4 linked regions of the Arabidopsis thaliana genome follow. The protein of the gene in region 4 interacts with the protein of the main gene of each other region in a biochemical or structural test. Each region holds a gene or a part of one and is shown on either strand. Other genes may lie near its edges.

What was found.
Region 1: of the proteins of MPK7 (region 4) and AT2G31390, one has a biochemical effect on the other in vitro, tested with the Arabidopsis thaliana proteins (one large-scale study listed by BioGRID).
Region 2: of the proteins of MPK7 (region 4) and Mik, one has a biochemical effect on the other in vitro, tested with the Arabidopsis thaliana proteins (one large-scale study listed by BioGRID).
Region 3: of the proteins of MPK7 (region 4) and AT3G61790, one has a biochemical effect on the other in vitro, tested with the Arabidopsis thaliana proteins (one large-scale study listed by BioGRID).

What each region holds. Positions count from the first base shown.
Region 1 is NC_003071.7:13,382,882-13,388,092, reverse strand, and holds AT2G31390 (pfkB-like carbohydrate kinase family protein), read left to right. Parts: upstream 1-1,700; 5' UTR 1,701-1,976; coding exon 1,977-2,375; exon of another isoform or gene 2,376-3,177; coding exon 3,178-3,510; exon of another isoform or gene 3,511-4,085; coding exon 4,086-4,202; intron 4,203-4,329; coding exon 4,330-4,458; 3' UTR 4,459-4,670; downstream 4,671-5,211. Other genes in the region: GUN1 (s uncoupled 1), read left to right, coding at 70-254, 595-892; STH (salt tolerance homologue), read right to left, coding at 4,791-5,030, 5,122-5,211.
Region 2 is NC_003076.8:23,722,881-23,727,298, forward strand, and holds Mik (pfkB-like carbohydrate kinase family protein), read right to left. Parts: upstream 2,706-4,418; 5' UTR 2,445-2,705; coding exon 1,560-2,444; intron 924-1,559; coding exon 747-923; 3' UTR 524-746; downstream 1-523. Other genes in the region: AT5G58720 (smr (Small MutS Related) domain-containing protein), read right to left, coding at 1-94; AT5G58740 (HSP20-like chaperones superfamily protein), read right to left, coding at 3,056-3,142, 3,740-3,882, 4,187-4,235, 4,350-4,418. UniProt on the Arabidopsis thaliana protein: Kinase that phosphorylates myo-inositol to produce multiple myo-inositol monophosphates. Participates in phytic acid biosynthesis in developing seeds. Phytic acid is the primary storage form of phosphorus in cereal grains and other plant seeds.
Region 3 is NC_003074.8:22,871,145-22,875,760, forward strand, and holds AT3G61790 (Protein with RING/U-box and TRAF-like domain), read right to left. Parts: upstream 2,690-4,616; 5' UTR 2,400-2,689; coding exon 2,172-2,399; intron 1,889-2,171; coding exon 1,502-1,888; intron 1,196-1,501; coding exon 830-1,195; 3' UTR 553-829; downstream 1-552. Other genes in the region: emb1703 (embryo defective 1703), read right to left, coding at 1-318; AT3G61800 (ENTH/VHS protein), read right to left, coding at 3,579-4,616. UniProt on the Arabidopsis thaliana protein: E3 ubiquitin-protein ligase that mediates ubiquitination and subsequent proteasomal degradation of target proteins.
Region 4 is NC_003071.7:7,907,263-7,911,786, reverse strand, and holds MPK7 (MAP kinase 7), read left to right. Parts: upstream 1-1,746; 5' UTR 1,747-2,070; intron 2,071-2,405; 5' UTR 2,406-2,412; coding exon 2,413-2,835; intron 2,836-2,925; coding exon 2,926-3,609; 3' UTR 3,610-4,013; downstream 4,014-4,524. Other genes in the region: AT2G18180 (Sec14p-like phosphatidylinositol transfer family protein), read left to right, coding at 1-19, 116-516, 608-733. UniProt on the Arabidopsis thaliana protein: MKK3-MPK7 module acts as a positive regulator of PR1 gene expression.

The sequences.
Region 1 (5,211 bases), 5.5 Mb from region 4:
ATTTTGTAACCGTTTTTTAATGCGTTACTATTAGTACAAAGGCTTACTTTTGGGAACCTTCTGCTATAGAAACGAGGTGCAGAACTGGTGGCACTTGAGGGAAGATCTAGGCAAGTTTGGGAAAACGTGTGGTCTGATTCTTGCTTGGACTTACACCTCATGTCTTCTGGAGCTGCACGTGCAATGGTCCATGCGTGGCTACTAAACATACGCTCCATTGTCTATGAAGGTCATGAGTTACCTAAAGTCTTGAGGTAAGCTACAAAGAGCTCTTCGGTTTAACTATCAACTTAAACCGGCCTATAATACCCGGCTCTTTTCCTTTTATGGTTGCTTCCTAAAACTCCATCAGGGCCCGAGAATTAAGTCCAATCTCTTCTTTTCCGAAATCTGATATGCAGCATGTCCTTGATGATGCTATGTTTTCTTGTGATAGGTTGAAGTTTTTGGTCATACACTATGATTATAGTGTCTCTGTAGATACTTTGCTTATGTGATGTGGTCATGTTTCGCAAATCTTTTGTGATCCCCTCAACTTTTATCACTATCTGGGTTAGTTCAAAACTTGTTAATAACTTTTTCTTATTGTGGCAGTATATTGACTGGCTGGGGGAAACACAGCAAAGTGGTTGGAGACGGAGCACTAAGACGAGCGGTTGAAGTTCTTTTGAGGGGAATGGATGCACCATTCCACCTGTCAAAATGCAACATGGGACGGTTCACATCAAGCGGTTCGGTGGTAGCAACTTGGCTGCGTGAATCAGCCACACTGAAACTCTTAATCCTCCATGACCACATAACAACCGCCACAGCTACTACTACAACAATGAAATCAACAGACCAACAACAACGGAAACAGACGTCGTTTGCTTTACAGCCTCTTCTTTTGTAGCTTAGTGTATGATGTAAAAGTAAAACAATTTGTGTTGATCATTAAAGTGTATAGGACCAATGGTCCTAACAATGTTTGGCTCTGTGCTAATATTTGTAACAAAGCAACTCGATTGATTATGTGAAAATCGTTTTGTCTTTTTCTTTTCTTAAAGATATGTAAGAATAAATATTTTAAAGCAAATCTCGAGATTTATTAGAAACAAAAAAGGATTATTTACATTAAACAGAGAAAATCTCTATTGACATTGGCCGTTTCGTGATCCGTTGCTGGTTTTATGGAAACTAAACAGAGGAATCCACAGGTTTTCGAAAGTAAACCAGTTTGATTATAAATAGTTCAACTTGTCAACAACACCCCAGTGACGCTTCAGTTACTTATTTAACGTGATTTTTTCACCCGTCGGTAAAAAAATAAATATCATTCTTGACTTTACTTTATTTCTATGTTAGATGACACATATTTATTTCATTACTTTCTTACCAAAAGGCAAAACCCACAATCGAGTTAAACTTCCACTGTAATGGACCTAATGGTTGCAATTGTCTATCCACACACATCTACTACGTTTCTCACTAGAACAATCACCTACAAATTTCATGGTAAATTCTTCTATACAGTTAAAAGTAAAACACTCGAATAAATATTTTCCATAACACGTGAGAGTATCTTGTTGGTGTTTTGTCATTATCCTCTTAACCTGACACCAAATTTGTAGTAAGTTTATTTTTTACGCAACATATTATTGACTACTATATTCATACACGATTTTTTTATTTTATTTTTCGGATCAAATCAAATACTCAGGCAAAGGTCGAAAAACGTTAAAAGATTTTTTCATTTTATTAAAAAAACCACAGAAACTCATGGTTTTTTTTACGAGATATATTTGTATCTTATATAATAAAATACGTTAATAATATATCAGTAGCAAGCCTTTGTACACCAGTCCCATCGTTCTCTATATAAACCATTCTTCTCCTTCCTCTCATTTTTATGTATTCTTCTCCTTGTCCTTCCTTACTCTCTATATTTTTCTCAATTCTCCGATTTGATCCAACGATTTCACAGATCTCTGATCTAAATGGCATCCAACGGTGATAAAGGACTGATCGTTAGCTTCGGCGAGATGCTAATCGATTTCGTCCCTACCGAATCAGGCGTCTCTCTCGCCGAAGCTCCTGGATTCCTCAAAGCTCCAGGCGGTGCTCCCGCTAACGTCGCAATCGCTGTTTCTCGTCTCGGTGGACGATCTGCTTTCGTCGGAAAACTTGGAGACGACGAGTTCGGTCATATGTTGGCTGGGATTTTGAGGAAGAACGGTGTTGATGATCAGGGGATTAACTTCGATACTGGAGCTAGAACTGCTTTAGCTTTCGTTACGTTACGTGCTGATGGAGATCGTGAGTTTATGTTTTACCGCAATCCTAGCGCCGATATGCTTCTTCGTCCTGATGAACTCAATCTCGACCTCATCAGATCCGTACGTTTTAAATCTCTCTCTCTTCGCTATAGATTTTTACGATTTTGGGATTGTAGAAAGCCAGATCTAGAGGATTTTTAGTTTAAATTTTCTGGGAAACGCAGAAACGAAATTCGATTAGGAGTGTTAGTTATTGGGAATCGCGTTATTGAATTTAGAAAACGTAGAAGATGATCTCACTCACTGGCGGTGACTTTTCTCTTAGATCTTTTTTATTTTCGCGGGTCTTATTTAGATCCACGTGATACCACGTGATTTCTCCAATTTCTTCATCTTTCAGTTTTTACCCAAAACAACTTCAAATTAAAAGGCTATAACCTTTTTGGCCGTGTAGTTAACCATCACCATCTTAGCTCAATTCTAGTGACATGTTTCCCTTGAGTAGTTTTTTTACTGAGCTTAATATGTGTTCTTCTTATTGATCTATATTAAAGTCTTGAGTATTTTTAGGTTTATGATGTGAATATGTGATTAAAAGTAAATGTGCACATATACGTGTAAAGTTTGGTTTTTTATAGCAATGGTGTGAAATGATGCCAGGTTGAGTATTTTTGTGTACATTTACCTTTACAGCTAATTTCATGGCGAGGATCTTTTGCTTTTCTTGTATAGTTTGATAATGATTGACCCTTGTCGTAGTTAATATTCAAAACATAAACCACAATTGGGTCCCTTGACAATTATATTCCTTATGATCTAAGTTGTGTTATTTTGTGAGTTGTTTTTGGTACCAACCTTGGTTTTGTTTTTTTCTGTTATTTTGACGTTTTTGTGTCCCATGATGTGGTGTGTTTTTGTGTAGGCGAAAGTGTTTCACTATGGATCAATAAGTTTGATAGTGGAGCCGTGTAGGTCAGCTCATTTGAAGGCCATGGAAGTGGCGAAAGAAGCAGGAGCTCTTCTTTCCTATGACCCAAACCTCAGGGAGCCTCTGTGGCCATCAAAAGAAGAAGCCAAAACACAGATCATGAGCATTTGGGACAAAGCTGAGATCATCAAGGTGAGCGATGTTGAGCTTGAGTTTCTAACTGGAAGCAACAAGATTGATGATGAGACCGCGTTGACCTTGTGGCATCCCAACTTGAAGCTGTTGTTAGTCACTCTTGGTGAAAAGGGCTGTCGGTATTACACCAAGGTAACAAACACACTTGAATATTTTTATGCATTTACCGTCATCATTCATCATTATCACCATTATTATCAGTATCATCAGCATAGTTGTCTCTTGGTTATGCTTTGTTTGTTGTGTCCATTAGGTGATACCAGAAGGCAAAACTAGTGTGTTATAGAATATAGTTTCAGGATTGCTTTTATGTTAACATCTTTTTAAAATAGGATTCTCGAGATACACAAGGTATTTGAATACTGCTGCTGGAATCAATTCTTCAACTTTGATTAAATTATTAGTGGGTTTTTTAGTAGGTTTGGTAGATCTCACCAACTGATGAATAAGAAATTTAATATTAGCCGTGGACCCTCCAAAAGATTAATACTATTCTAATCAATTAAGGGGTACAGCAAAAGTCGTGATCTCTAAGGTTCTTGGTTTAATCAAACATGACAAATGTTAATGTCAAGAAAGGGGAGTTACTTTTGCTTTTCTCATTTGCCGAATCACATGCTATTTTTTTTACTTCTTTACGGCAGTTACTCTGTGACCTTCCACAAAAATATGTTTCTCTTCTTATATGTTCTTACCAAATTGTGTAGACTTTCAAAGGAGCCGTTGACCCTTTCCATGTGAACGCTGTGGACACAACCGGAGCTGGAGATTCCTTTGTCGGTGCTCTTCTAAACCAGATTGTCGATGATCGATCCGTTCTCGAGGTATGATATTCGAAAGAAGCATCCAATTAATCAATGTGCATTCATTGGATGAATCTTTCTTAGCTACAAGATATATATATAGGTTCTAACTTCAATATCTAATGACTTGTTGGGTTTATTTGAACAGGACGAAGAGAGATTGAGGAAAGTGCTGAGATTCGCAAATGCTTGTGGAGCAATCACAACGACCAAAAAAGGAGCCATTCCAGCTCTTCCCTCAGATGCTGAAGTTCGGAGCTTTCTCGAAAAGAAATAGAAACAAAACAACTCAAGCTTCTATTACGTAATCTGTTTCCGCGATTATCTTCTCTTTTTGTATTCTTGTTTTCGGATGGTTGAATCGAGAAGAGAAACAAATTCGGCATTCCGCTCTGTTTTTGTTTCTCTTCTTCAAATGTAATGATTTAGAAAAGACGTATGTTGCAATTTAAGGCTTCACTTGCTAATAAAATGATAAGGTTTTTCCAAGTTTTAGCCTGCTACTTACAGTGATACACATATCAGATCATGGAGAAAGCAAGGCGAAGAGCCGAAGACTATGCGAATCAAGTGCTATATATTATAAAGCTTAGTAGATTCATCCATAGTTTAGCCTAGGTCGGGGACTAGGAAGTGCTCTTCTTCATCATCATACCGGTACTCAAGCCTCTGCTTCTTGTTGGGTACATTGGACTTCATAGGTCTGTTGTAGGAATGAGCATGAGCCAAATGTGAAAAGGAAAGCTCGGGAACTTCGGCTACCGGTAGAGCCTCTTGATCAGGCTGGTCACCAAACAGACCCATCTCTGCAAGCCAATCCAGCTCCCCGAGATCGAGTTGCTCTTTCTCCTAATGTACAACAAGTGATTTATATAGTTGTCAAAACAAGTTACAAACCAGGATATTTGAGTATTCATCAGTTTGGTAAACCAGTTCTCACCTTATTACTGCAGTCAAGATCAGAGTAGCTGAAGAATTCATCGGTAGCCCACAAAGGAGATGGAGCAGCGGGTTGCTGAGTTGGCGGTTT
Region 2 (4,418 bases), on a different chromosome or scaffold from region 4:
CTTTTTTGTTCCCGTCCGACGTCGTTCCATCACCGGAAGGTTTCGCGGCGCAGGATCGCTTCTTCTTCTTCTTATGCTGGTTCTTCTGCTTCATTATCGTACAATTATAGATGAAATCGTGTCAACGCCGCTTCAATAGAATCTCTTCCGATCTGCAGAAGAAACTTAAACCCAGATTTCCGACGAGAAGCGTCGGAGAGAGGGAAGAGGCGTTTTAACCGTAAATCAGGAGTTAGTAATGGAGATGCCAATATCAGAGGAAATTTTTTGCTCGTCCAGACTTTTGATTGGGAATCGGAATCGCCACGTCAATCCACGCGCCTGATCGTGACCACGTTTTAAATCCACGCGCACGAATCAAACACCGAACACGGTTTCCTCCTGATTGTACATATATTGAACCGGTTCAACTATGCACCAGTCAAAATTAGATCTCCCACGTTGACTTTCGTAATTTTATCTCAGATTTGTTTTTGGTTTTTATATTAACTAGATAATGTGGCAACATGCGAATAGCAAATCATCTTATCCAAAACTTTTAAAACAAAATTTGACATCTTCATTTCGAATTTTGAAACGCGGAGTTGATAAACAAACTTTGCGGGAACGACCAGAAAGAGCGTTTGAAGACGCTGGTCAACGCGTTTTATACATTAAAATTTCCAAAATTCATCAACGTGTTGAAGCAAGCTTACACAACTCAGAAGAGCTTTGTTAGTAAAAAAAAGGTGATTCAAGATTCGTATTCACAGGGACCGATCATCACAAGAGTGACCATTGACCAATAACTTTGGTTGAAGTTGAGAGTCTACGCATGAAAACCGAGCTGGACTTAGACGCTCATGGAACTCGTTGTGATCGTTGTTATGGCTGCTAGATATGTTACACTGCTTCTTCCTTCTCTGTACCTCATCCTTGACTTTCTGCAAATCACAAAGACATATGTCACATAGAAATAACCGATGAAAGGGATGAATCCTTGTGCAGTGCAAACACAAACGCTATAAATCTTCTAATTTGCTTAATGTTCACTTGCACTAGCCAATGGTTCAATTATTATCCAATAACGCCCTCATTTCAACAGATACAACTACAAGAGATACACAGAAACACTCGCAAATACATCAAGAGATCCATACTTTTGAATTCTCTAATTGCTTAACCACATTGTTCGGTGAATGCTTAAACAACACTTTTTCCTGCATCTACCCTATGTTGAATGAAACTGCTCCTAGATTAACAATGAAGTAAAACAAGAAAAGACTCTCTCAGCAGCTGTGACTCGACAGAATCTCAAACAACAACTGTGAAGATTTGACACATTTTCAGATTGGAAACCTATCAACATCAAATACAGATTCTAGTTCACCCGCAAGATATAGGTTTGGCTGTATTGAAAGTAAGCTGCAAGATGTAACAGAGTTCTTTTGCTAGGATTATGTTAAAGACATTTGCATATCACTATCATCGGCTCTAAAAGTTCTTACTACTGTCTATTAGATTTGCAAATCTCTCACAGCATGCAATTCAGTAAGCTAATACGAGACCAAAAAACAAACCTGAAGCATCATCAAATCGAACTTTGGCTGACCAATATGCTCTACAGTGATGGAACCAAAGAGGTTCCCTAACAATGCAGCATCAGGAACAGTCAAACCTTCAACAAGCCCAACAATCAAACCTCCGAGAAAGCTGTCTCCGGCACCGGTAGGATCCACCTGCTTCGCCAAGAACGGAGGAACCGTCATTTCATCATCCTTATGATAAATCCTACACCCTTTTTCACCATTAGTCACCACCACACAACACAAGTGCTTCATTTGTTCAACATCCATGAAAAGAGCTTCGTCTGACGAAGCTTTCAAGAATCCAATTCGATGCAAGATGTGATAAAATCCACTTTCTTTCAAATCAACAAGCTTCACAGCTCCGTCAACAGGATCAAAAACCCTAATCAAAGCTTGAATATCCACAGCAACAACGTCACAGATCTCCACCATTTTCTCAAGCGTCTCCGGTAAAATCTCGCCGCCGACTCCAACGGCCATTCCGAAATCAAATCTCGAATCGGGTATATCCGAAGGAAGAATCGGATCACATGCAGAGACTCTTTTCAACACCCGATCAGCATGACCGATCCCATCGATTCCCAGATCGAAATACGCCTCGAAAACTGTTGTTTCCTTCTCCGGAGCCACGATCGGAGAGTGGGTGACCTCGTATCTGAAGTCGTGTCCTACTTTGGAGACCAAATCGCAGGAGACAGAGGAAGAATCTAAGACATTAGATATGAAAGAGGCGGCGCCGCCGAGAGTTTCAGCTACGACGGATCCGTTTTGGATTAAAACGTCGTGGCAATAATTTCCGACGATGAGAACGCGGCGATTGGGAATCCGACGCGGCGAGTGAGACGTTTGCTGCGACGGAGGAGGATTCAACGTCATGATCGCGGCTGGTGCAGAGGATCATCGAGAAAGTGAAGCAGAAGGAAGAAGAAGAATCATGGAATTAGTAAGACGAAGAAGCCGACCAACGAGAAGAAGAAGAAGAGACAAAACTAATGGCTATAAGCTAATACGTAACGTCTTGAGATTCGTTCCCTGCTCTCTGTCTTATGATATATGTGTCGCGAGGGAGATGACGCGCGCCTAATTTTCCTCCTTTTTTTTTTTGTAACCGAAATAAAATGATGTTAAATAATAAAATAGAGAATATGATCATTTTTCTCCAATTTTATTTTGTTCGAATTCCTTATTCTCCTCCACTTATCCAAGACAATTTCTTTTTGAAAAAGCTGTCACATACCAAAACAAGATTCGAAGCGCACGGCGGCTCAGTGGACTTTTAGTAGATGCTCCGATTCTGTTGTCGGGAAGAAAAGGACAACTAAACAGAGACGAAAGACGATTTATATGATTGCCATTACGAGTTATAGAAACAGAGAGTCAGGGGGTTTATTTATGAGACATGAGACATTTTGTTTAAGTCATGGTGACTTTTGAGTTTGTTATAATGGACATACTATTATAGCAACAAGAGTGGGACTATTATTTATTTAGTCAGAACGAATACCGCCCATGAAGCTCCTTGGATCTGGACAATTACCCGAGAACTGAGCTTGCGAGAAGTCGAATCCCGGGTTCTGCAAAAACCAACAGAGAAAGAACATGTAAAAGGAAAGTTGGTCGAAAGAGTAAAGAAAAGCATACTTGAGCTCAATACAAAGTAAATAGAAACTCATGCATACAAGCAGAAACAAAACCAATAAGACAAAGCCATTAAGGCATACATGAATCACACCCATGTGTGCAGTCTTGCCATGTTAATTTGCTCAATCCGGTTAGACTAAGGCTGAGCAATTTCATCCACCATAGCTTTACTATCACCAGCTCTATGCAGACTGTTTATTCATGAAACTGATAAAAATCCGGCTACACTATAGGTTTACTATCACCAGCTCTATGCAGACTGTTTATCCATGAACACAAAAGATTCACTACTTGAGAGAGACATAAGAAACAAAATAAGAGAGCTTGAACAAAGAAAACAATCATGGGACATGACTCATCCAAAACGATCATTTATGGCAAAGTAATCATACTTTGACATAGATTCATTCTACTCAGTAGTGGTGCCTAAGATTTGCTTTGGAGATCAATTAGAAGACCTAGAAAACAACATTTATTTTTTCAAAAGCAGAAACCATATGAAACCAAGAGGACTTTTACAGGTAGCTAACCTCTTCTTGAAACCTCTGGAGCATGAGCCGCTTCTGCTCAAGATCAGTGGCGTAAGGATCTAACTGACCCTGTCCCAGAATCGGTGATGCCCATGTTTGCCCTTTCTCCCTCTTCTGCAGGGTAATGTGCATTATATCATCCTCTGCCAAATCAAACATAACAATCCAGATTAGCAATCAGTGCCAGACTATGAACCTAAAAAAACTATGCCAGTAACTTACATACGCTGATAATATAACCCAAAATATACTGTACATTCCATCATCCCTCCATTAGTCTCAAATTTTCCACATTCCAAACTATATGTCCCACTATTTATACCAAACTCAGATCACATTTCCAGGTTCAGTTTATCCTCTCTAGCAATAGTGAACGGGTCTAAAAACAGAAACCTAACCATCAAAAACAAGCACCCAATACAGACACAAAAACAAAAAATGGAGTACCTAGAGTCCAGAACGAGCAATCAGTCTTCACAGGAGCACTAAGATCGTGCTGAAAATTGACAAAATTTAGACAATTGAATCGAGTTATATATACCACATCGAATAACTCAGATTTATGAGACAAACGGATCAAAAACATTGAAAGATAGCGAAAGAAACTGACATTGAGATAGGGAGGGTTGCCTTTGATGCCAACTTCGATATGTTTCGACTGGATTTTGCAGTGGAATGA
Region 3 (4,616 bases), on a different chromosome or scaffold from region 4:
ATCTTTCAATCCCTCGGTGCTACTTAAATCATCACAGTGACCAAACTTATGGCTTTCGTTTAGAGGTTTCGTACCTGGTTCAGAAGATTTCGGAGTCGAACGCCAATACTCATCACCGATGATCTTCTTCCTCAGCGAATTACGTCGCCTCGAGGTCTCTCCGAACCGAGCCGAGACTCGGAGAATTGAAACGCGATAGTAGTGGAATTTGGAGATGGGCAAGTTGAATCGACGTTGGTTAGCGAGTCTCCTGTTCGAATTGGACGAGAAAGACGAGAAATTGAAGAAACCATCATTGGAGTTTAGTAGAACCTCCATTGATGGAAACCAAAGGGATAAAGCTCACTTCCGAGTGAGAAAACCCCCAAAAGCTGGGTTTAACAGAACAATGATGAAACGTCGTCGTTTCTTAAACAAAGCTAACGCCTTTGAACAACACTACAGTTGAAAAAAGGTTCAACATTTTACATTTTCCAGATATAAAGCTCATCACTTCCAAGTTCCAAAAGCTGGGTTTAACAGAACAATGATGAAACGTCGTCGTTTCGTGGACACAACACAAGCATTACATAAATTTATGAACACTACAGTTGATAAAAGTAAAAGGTTCAACATTTTACGTTTTTCCTCCAGATATAGCAGAATTGTAATGAACTATATATTTTATAATAAAAAAACCTCCATGACATGAGAAAGACAGAGAGAGATACATAAGAACAACCCCAAGTTTATCGTCAGAGAAAACCCTAATTACAGATAACCATGGTTACAGAGACAAGGCCAAATCGGTGAGGTTTTCAAAATCAGTTTGATTTTTTTTTTTTAATTTTCAAGACAAGTTTGGGATACAAGCTCCTCCACCTTCACCACTTTGTTGTTGCTCTTTCCATATCCTTCCAGTGACTCGAAGTTTCAGCTCTTTCCTATCTCCACCTGAGAAGAAGAGAGCCATGTTTCTTTGTATAATTAGTCCATCATGACTGTCTCTAACTTTCCTGTGGCTGTCTCTTACGCTTCTTGGTGTTCCTTCCCATATCAGCTTCCGACCATAACCTCCCACTTCTAAACTGTAATTGTAGTTTCGAGCTTCTGTCTCGTCCCCCATGAAACGCAGGAACGCCATGTAGACTGGAGCCATTCCGAGCTGGAATGCCTCAAAGTGAAGACAGAAGTATTGACCGAAGCAGTGAAAGACCTGATTTTCATTTTTGAACCAGAAACAAAACCAAAACAGAGGAAACCTTGATAAGCATTAAAGTATATCAAGTCAACATGTATAGCGAGATGGAAGATTCACAATTCACAACCATAGATTAGATAAATAACTGGACCTTCTCTAGGAAAGCTAACTCGCAACAAAAGCAAAATTTGACTCAGCTGATCACATTACAGTTTATACCAGACAGATCAAATTTTATCACAAATATAATCCTATTACTTTAAACAAAGCCTCCTAACTTATCTAAGTGTATACTATGAAGCACGATTCATATGTACTTACAGTTAACATCCATGTGGCGTTTTCGACTTCACGAGGATTAGACTTGACATAACGATGGTTGAAAGTACACCCAGAATGCATATCCACCTTATGATCATCCCTCAGATGAGCAACTAAGAAAGGGATATCGCCCGTAACAGAACACTCGGATCCAGCATAAGGGCAGCTATAAGGTCTGAAGTTACATACAGTCTCATGTTTGAGCTTACTGTAATAAGGGAAGATTTCAGGACATCCAAGTGACATGTGTTTACAAGGTAGTTCAAGTGATTCGGCTACTTTTTCCAGTGCCAAACAACGGATATCACCGAGCTCTTGTCTACAAGTTGGGCAGCGGTTGTGAACCCTGGCTTTACAGGTTGAACACAACGTATGTCCATTGTGACACTGTAGGGAAATCAAATAATTGTCTATCTGTTATTCCATAATTCTCTAAAGAAACAATAAGAAGAATCTTAGAAACTATCAAAGCTATTGACAAAATTTAGTGACAATTGTTTCAATTGTAGCCATTAGTGAATGGATAAAACTAAATTTCAAGTTACAAGAGCAACACAACCACTGCTTCAACATCCATGATTCACATCATTAACTCAAAACCCTAAACAAAATCAACAAATTAAAGATCCGGGGAAACGAAATCAGAGAACAAGGGATTGAAAAGAAAGACCTGATGAATGGGAGGGTACATAGAATTGGTGCAGACAGGACATTCGAGAAGCTCATGAACACTGGTGGTGGTAGGGAGAAGCCCAGAAGCAGCAGCATTAACGTTGGTGGTGTTGTTATTAGTATGATGATGCTTGGAAACAGAAGCGTAGGAATGGCGATCTTGGTGGATCTCTTCATCATCTGTCACATCCATGGTTGATGTACAGTCCATGCTATCCAAATCCATTGAAGAAAGGTGGAGACTTTGATTGATCTTCGATCGAAACGAAAGATCAAAATCCGGAATTGAAGAAACACCACCGAAACAGGTCAACCCTCGTGAAGTGTTGTTAATTTTCAAAAACAAAAAAGATAGATGCTCTTCTTCATCAATTCTCTAGAGAGAGAGAGAGAGATAGTTGCCGTCAAATGAACCGGAAACGCTGATTTAAGATCGGACGGTCACAAAGGCGGCTGTGTTAAAGAGAGAATGTTATTTGGAAACAAATTGAATTATAAGAGATTCAGAAGAATTTACTGGATAGGGGAAAAATAATCATATTCTAATAATATACGTACAGTATATCCTCTCTCACTCAATGATTTCTTTGTTTTTAATTAAAGGGCCATGATCCAGTAGAGATGGGCCTAAATATGTACATGGTGCACATGATTGCTTCTTTTTTTTTATTCTAGATGTTTTTCTCTCTAGTGGGATTCTGTCTATCATTATTGTGTGTTCTTTTTTTACTTTTAATTCAAACAATTTCTTTTCCTTTGTACAAGAAAAATGATTTTCAACTTCTAAAATGACAGCTAAATTCAAAGATTCATGAAAAACATGCTCATCTTTCTGTTTACTTTAACAAAAACTTTAAGAGATGTATTTAGGTAAAATTAGACGGTTTAAGAATATGAAATTCATAAGAGGAATAATAAGTAATGGGATGTGGCTTGGGTTCAAAGTCACTTCAAAGACCAATGATAATGTAAATGAACATTTTACTCTTCTTCATCTCAAGCAAACTCTCACAATCTTAAAAGCAAATTATTCAATTAATAATTGCTTCTCATCAGTGATCGGTCTCATGAGTGATATCATCCTTAAACACACCACATAAAAGAAAAAGAAAAAAGCGAACAACAACGATCCATCCAGCTTCAATGATCTGTCGTTGCTTTTTAACAGAACATGTCAATTGTACTATTATCTTTCTGTTGGGTTTTGTGACTTTTGTCTGAGAAAAATATAAAGCTTCAAAGAATCTGGGACTTGACTTAAGAACTGTTTTCACAGCTACAAGAGATCACAAGCGGATCTGATTATTCATTCATCAAATATTCTTTAGCTTTTTACTCCTATTTGCATCAAACAATCAAATTTAAGGCACTACTGGATCAAAACTAGAAAGATTTTAGTTATTTGTTACCACTGGTTAGCCGATGTATCCCGGCACTTTTCATCATTGCCCTGAGCCAACTGCTGTGGATTAGTACCTTTTACTCGATTACTAAACAGTCTCTGGGATATTCTATCTTTAGCCGTTGTTTTCTTACGCCTTGTGGAAAAGGTTTGCTTCTTGTTTTTCTTTTCAGCAAAAACTCTATCAAACTCATCATCCATAGCATTCGATCTAGAAGTTGAGGCTATTGCCGCACCACGCAGAACTTCATGATTGTGTTCCTTAACCTTAACCTTAACAAGCTTTGCTCTTTTCCTCACCACTTCTTTGTCTTTCTCCCGGATATTCTTCAGAGCCTCTTTCGCTATTTGCCTAGCTAACTGATTAGGATCAGAATCTGAAGTTGTTTCATCCATAGACACATCCTGGTTGGTCCCTGAAGTTGAAGAAGTTTGGTTTTCACTCTCATCTAATGGAGATTCCTGGATTATGGTGTTTCCTTCATCATCCCGGGGTACAATGGGTCCGTGAAACGGACAGACTCTGAGATCTCTTCTCTGGCAAAGACCACCTTTCTTTAGAGAAGCACGGCATGGAGGTGTCTCTGTTCTCTCTTCTCTATACACGGTTGCCTGAAGATTCAATTCTGCTATTTTATCTGCTGGAATTATAGCATCTTGATCCACCCTGCCCCAGTGGCTCTCGATCTCTAAACCCCGGTAATTAGCTCGAACTTCCGTAGTTGATTCCCAATTAGTCAACTGTGATCCCCAATTCATCACAGGCGCTTCAGAAATTAGCTTGTCTCTAAGAGAGTTTCCACTGCTTCCAACTTTTTTAGTGTTCGACACTTTATTGGACCTAGCTTCTGATGTAGACTTCTTTGCTTCACCTGATGATGGTAAAGATGAATTCTCACTCTGCTGAGTTCTCATCACATGAGCCACGTTCTTGACTGAATCAGTTTTAACCTTGCCATCATCCTCCTCCCAGATATCTTCTTCTTCCTCGTTTGTTTCTTCATTACCGTGAATATCAGTCATTCTTGACATTGTAAAACC
Region 4 (4,524 bases):
AAATTTTCCCTCTCAAAAAGTATAAGAGATCATGTGCAAATTACACTACTAAAGAGACAAATACTACTCCTTTTTAAAAGAACTTGAATTTAAGTACTTCTCTGTTTTTGAACAGGGGATGTTTACGCCATTCAAGAAGCTTGCAAAGCTACAAATGAAAGTGGAAGGTCTCCTATTTTCACTGGAGTCATGGCTTTTGTAATGGGTGTAGTCACCATGATTAGAGTGACTAAAAACGTTCCAAGGAAGCTAACCGAGTCAACTATATACTCTAGCCCGGTTTACTGCGACGAAAACTCGATGAACAAGAGCTCGATGCATGGGAAGAAAATGGCAACAACAACCATCTCAGGGGAAGATTTCATGGCGGTCATGAAACGAATGGCTGAGCTTGAGCAGAAAGTCACAAACTTGAGTGCACAGCCAGCAACTATGCCTCCTGAAAAGGAAGAGATGCTTAATGCTGCCATTAGCCGAGCCGATTTCTTGGAACAAGAACTTGCTGCAACCAAGAAGGTAACACAAAACAAAAAAAACTTTCATATATATTACTGATTTGTTCTCAGCTTTCACTATCTCACACTAAAGAGTTGTTGTATCTTCACAGGCTCTTGATGATTCTCTTACCCGACAAGAGGACCTTGTGGCATACGTTGAGAGAAAGAAGAAGAAGAAGAAGCTGGTCCGCTTTCAAATCAATGCCTACTTAACTAATTTTTGTTTTGGTGTTTAAAATGGTGTTCTGTTTTACTTTTTATCTCCATGTGCAGTTCACTTGGTAAGTGAGGAACATGAGGAAGAAGAAGCCTCTAGTGGAGTTAGAGGTGGCCAATGCACTCATGTCATTAACTTAAATCTTACAGTCACATTAAAATTAAGAGAATCTCCAAAGAAAGAATTTTGTTATGTCTCTGTATATATATATCATCCTTAGATGTTACCACTTATCCGCATCATATGCGAGATCATGTTTGATTTGTACAAAAGAAAACAATGAATTTATAAGAAATATATTTTGTAAAGTAGTTTTGTACAAAAGATTAGTGTGCAAACATTTTTAACATCAACGTATAAAATTCAAGTACACTTTATATAAACTAAATTACTAGGGTTGAAGATGAATTGGGGCTTGATGGTTTGGAGAGACAGAATCTTCGAAGATCTATGGAGAAACTCAAAGTTGATTGATAATCTGCGTTCGTCAACTGATAGGTTTACTCAACCATTTGCCACTCAAATTAGTTATGTCATCATCTGATGTTAAATCCATCAGCCACACTTATCCTTTTTTTAATCTAATCCTCAAACCTCTCCGAAAGAGACAGAAGGTCTTCAAACCAAGAGTGGTTTTGTAGTTGACCACTTTTTGAGGCTTTTAAGTTAGGTTTAACTACACCCAGTGGAAACTTCGGTTCGGACAACAACAAGAAGTTGCTCCCAATCTACGTTTACCACGTGTCACTTTTTCAGTCCACCCACGTGCTTAGCCGGTTACTTGATCCATTTAAATCCTCAATTTCTGTATTCGTGTACGTATATTATACCAAGACAAATTCTACTTAATAAATATCTTACTCAATCTTTTTAATTAATTACAAAAATTCCTATGCATTATTTTTTTCTAATTACCAAATATAGTAATAACAATCCTGATTTGTATGCAAAAAAAAAACATGAAGAGTCCATTAAACTTTAGAGATTTTTTAATTAAAGATAGTTTGTAACTGAAGTTTTGTTACACAAAAAATATCTAATCTAAAAAGAATGTCGTTTTCGTAATTAGAAGACTTTGTAATTTGTTTTTTTCCTAAAAAACGAAAAGAAGTAACCAAAGCTTCTTCATCAACCAACGTATTTTGCTTCCTTTCTTCTTCTTCTTCTTCCTCTTCCCCTAACATTCCATTCCCCGTATGGGTCTCACCACTTCCTAACTCTTCTCTCTCTTATCTCTTCTTGTTTTAGCTATGAAGAAGCAATCTCAATTCAGATCCAATCATACCCTTCTCTTCTTTCATCTCTGATCATTAACAACAACAACAACGACTCGGGTTCTGTAAATTCAGTTATTGGGTATGTTCGATCTCTTGTTCTGTTTCTTCTCTTTATTCATTTAGCTTGTTTTAACTCTTAATTTTTGAGTTTTGATTATGATTAATCAAGAGTTATCATATTAAAAAGAGAATTTTTATAACCAAAGTTTGCTTTTTTCTTATGGAGTAGTAAGATTGATAGCTAAGTAAAGGAAACGATATTAAAAAGAGAATTTTTCTTAGTTGAATTTCACTTTTTGGAGACGTAAAGGAGAAAAAAGCTTCAATGATTCATAAATCGAAAATTCTCTATAAACCCTTTTCCAAAATCTTACCAATTTAGGGGAAAAATACTGAAAGTTTTGGTTTTTGCAGAGAGAAAATGGCGATGTTAGTTGAGCCACCAAATGGGATTAAGCAACAAGGGAAACATTACTACTCCATGTGGCAAACATTGTTCGAAATCGATACAAAGTATGTTCCGATTAAACCCATTGGAAGAGGAGCTTATGGTGTGGTTTGTTCTTCTATCAATCGTGAGACTAATGAGAGAGTTGCTATTAAAAAGATTCACAATGTGTTTGAGAATCGTGTTGATGCTTTGAGAACGTTGAGGGAACTTAAACTTCTTAGGCATGTGAGGCATGAGAATGTGATCGCGCTTAAAGATGTTATGTTGCCTGCTAATAGATCCAGTTTCAAGGATGTTTATTTGGTTTATGAGCTAATGGATACTGATCTTCATCAGATTATTAAATCCTCTCAGTCTCTTTCTGATGATCACTGCAAGTACTTCTTGTTTCAGGTAACTTTAAGTCCTTCCTCGGTAACTCTATGTTTCGAGTTTTGTATGTTTAGTTATTGAAATAAGTCTTGTTCTTGTTGTTGTGTTTAGTTGCTTAGAGGGTTGAAGTATCTTCATTCTGCAAACATACTTCACCGGGATTTGAAGCCCGGGAACCTCTTAGTTAATGCGAACTGCGATCTCAAGATTTGTGATTTCGGGTTGGCGAGAACGAGCCAAGGTAATGAACAGTTCATGACTGAGTATGTGGTTACACGTTGGTACAGAGCACCTGAGCTTCTTCTTTGTTGTGATAACTATGGAACCTCCATTGATGTATGGTCGGTTGGTTGCATATTCGCGGAGATTCTTGGTAGGAAACCGATTTTTCCAGGAACAGAATGCTTGAATCAGCTTAAGCTAATCATCAACGTTGTTGGTAGCCAACAAGAATCTGATATTCGGTTCATAGACAACCCGAAAGCTCGAAGGTTTATAAAGTCTCTTCCGTACTCAAGAGGAACTCATCTCTCCAATCTTTATCCACAAGCCAATCCTCTAGCTATAGATTTGTTACAGAGGATGCTTGTGTTTGATCCAACCAAGAGAATCTCTGTAACCGATGCGCTCTTACACCCGTATATGGCGGGGTTGTTTGATCCTGGATCCAATCCGCCTGCACATGTCCCAATCTCTCTGGACATAGATGAAAACATGGAGGAACCAGTGATAAGAGAGATGATGTGGAATGAGATGCTTTATTACCACCCTGAAGCTGAAATCTCAAATGCCTAAATCAACATCAATGATCATTAAGAGTAAGCTTTTTCCAGTTTTTTTTTTTTTTGCTTTCTAAAATGCAGCTTTGATGTTATGTTATATATAGCGAGTCCACAAACGCGGGAACAGATCGATAAAAAGCCCGGTGCTTTGATCTCGTCTGGTTTGATTTAGTTGCAGTGAGTGAGTAGTAGTAACAGAGTTTGAAAAGTGGCTCTCAGTATCTTTACCACTTTGTAAATGTGACTGTTTGTTACTAAGTAAGTTAAGGCTTGTTTTTGTTACATTATCTTTGAGTTGATGAGTTTTACTACTGATTTTCAGGCCAACTCTTGTATTTTGTATAGCTTTGCCATTGCCCACTTGCTAGCCACACGAAATAATTTTTTATAGTTTAGATACTCTCATACTATAAAGTATAAACTAATAAAAGTATAGATGTTATTTTCTCTAGTTTTTATCCTACCTTTAAAAAGCCGCCAAACATGTTTTCAATTCATTATAAGGGAAGATTGGATAATGTGTCACTTCATATTTTTCGTTCTTTTTAGTACTACCAAAACAATTTCAGAATATATTAGTAATCTTATAAATAATGATCTAAGGAAGTGTGCTATTTTTTTCAGTTCCAATATGAAGACTAGTGTGTTTTAAAAATACTTTATTTTATAAGTGTATTTATTTCAAAGGTGAATTAGCTAAATAACCAATTCCTGAAAAGAAATTAAATATCTAGCACCATAAGTTGCCGAATTCAGAGAGTAACACATGAGGTGTGTGTAATGACAACACACTCTTTCACCACACACTCCTTCACCCAACTCTTTCATTCATGTTTAAGGCGCGTGAAGAAAACAGAAGTGTAGTGAATTATGCTGACGTGGTCTTTTAAGGAACAATAAAAGTTTAAGTTATGTTGAGAAGAGAAAA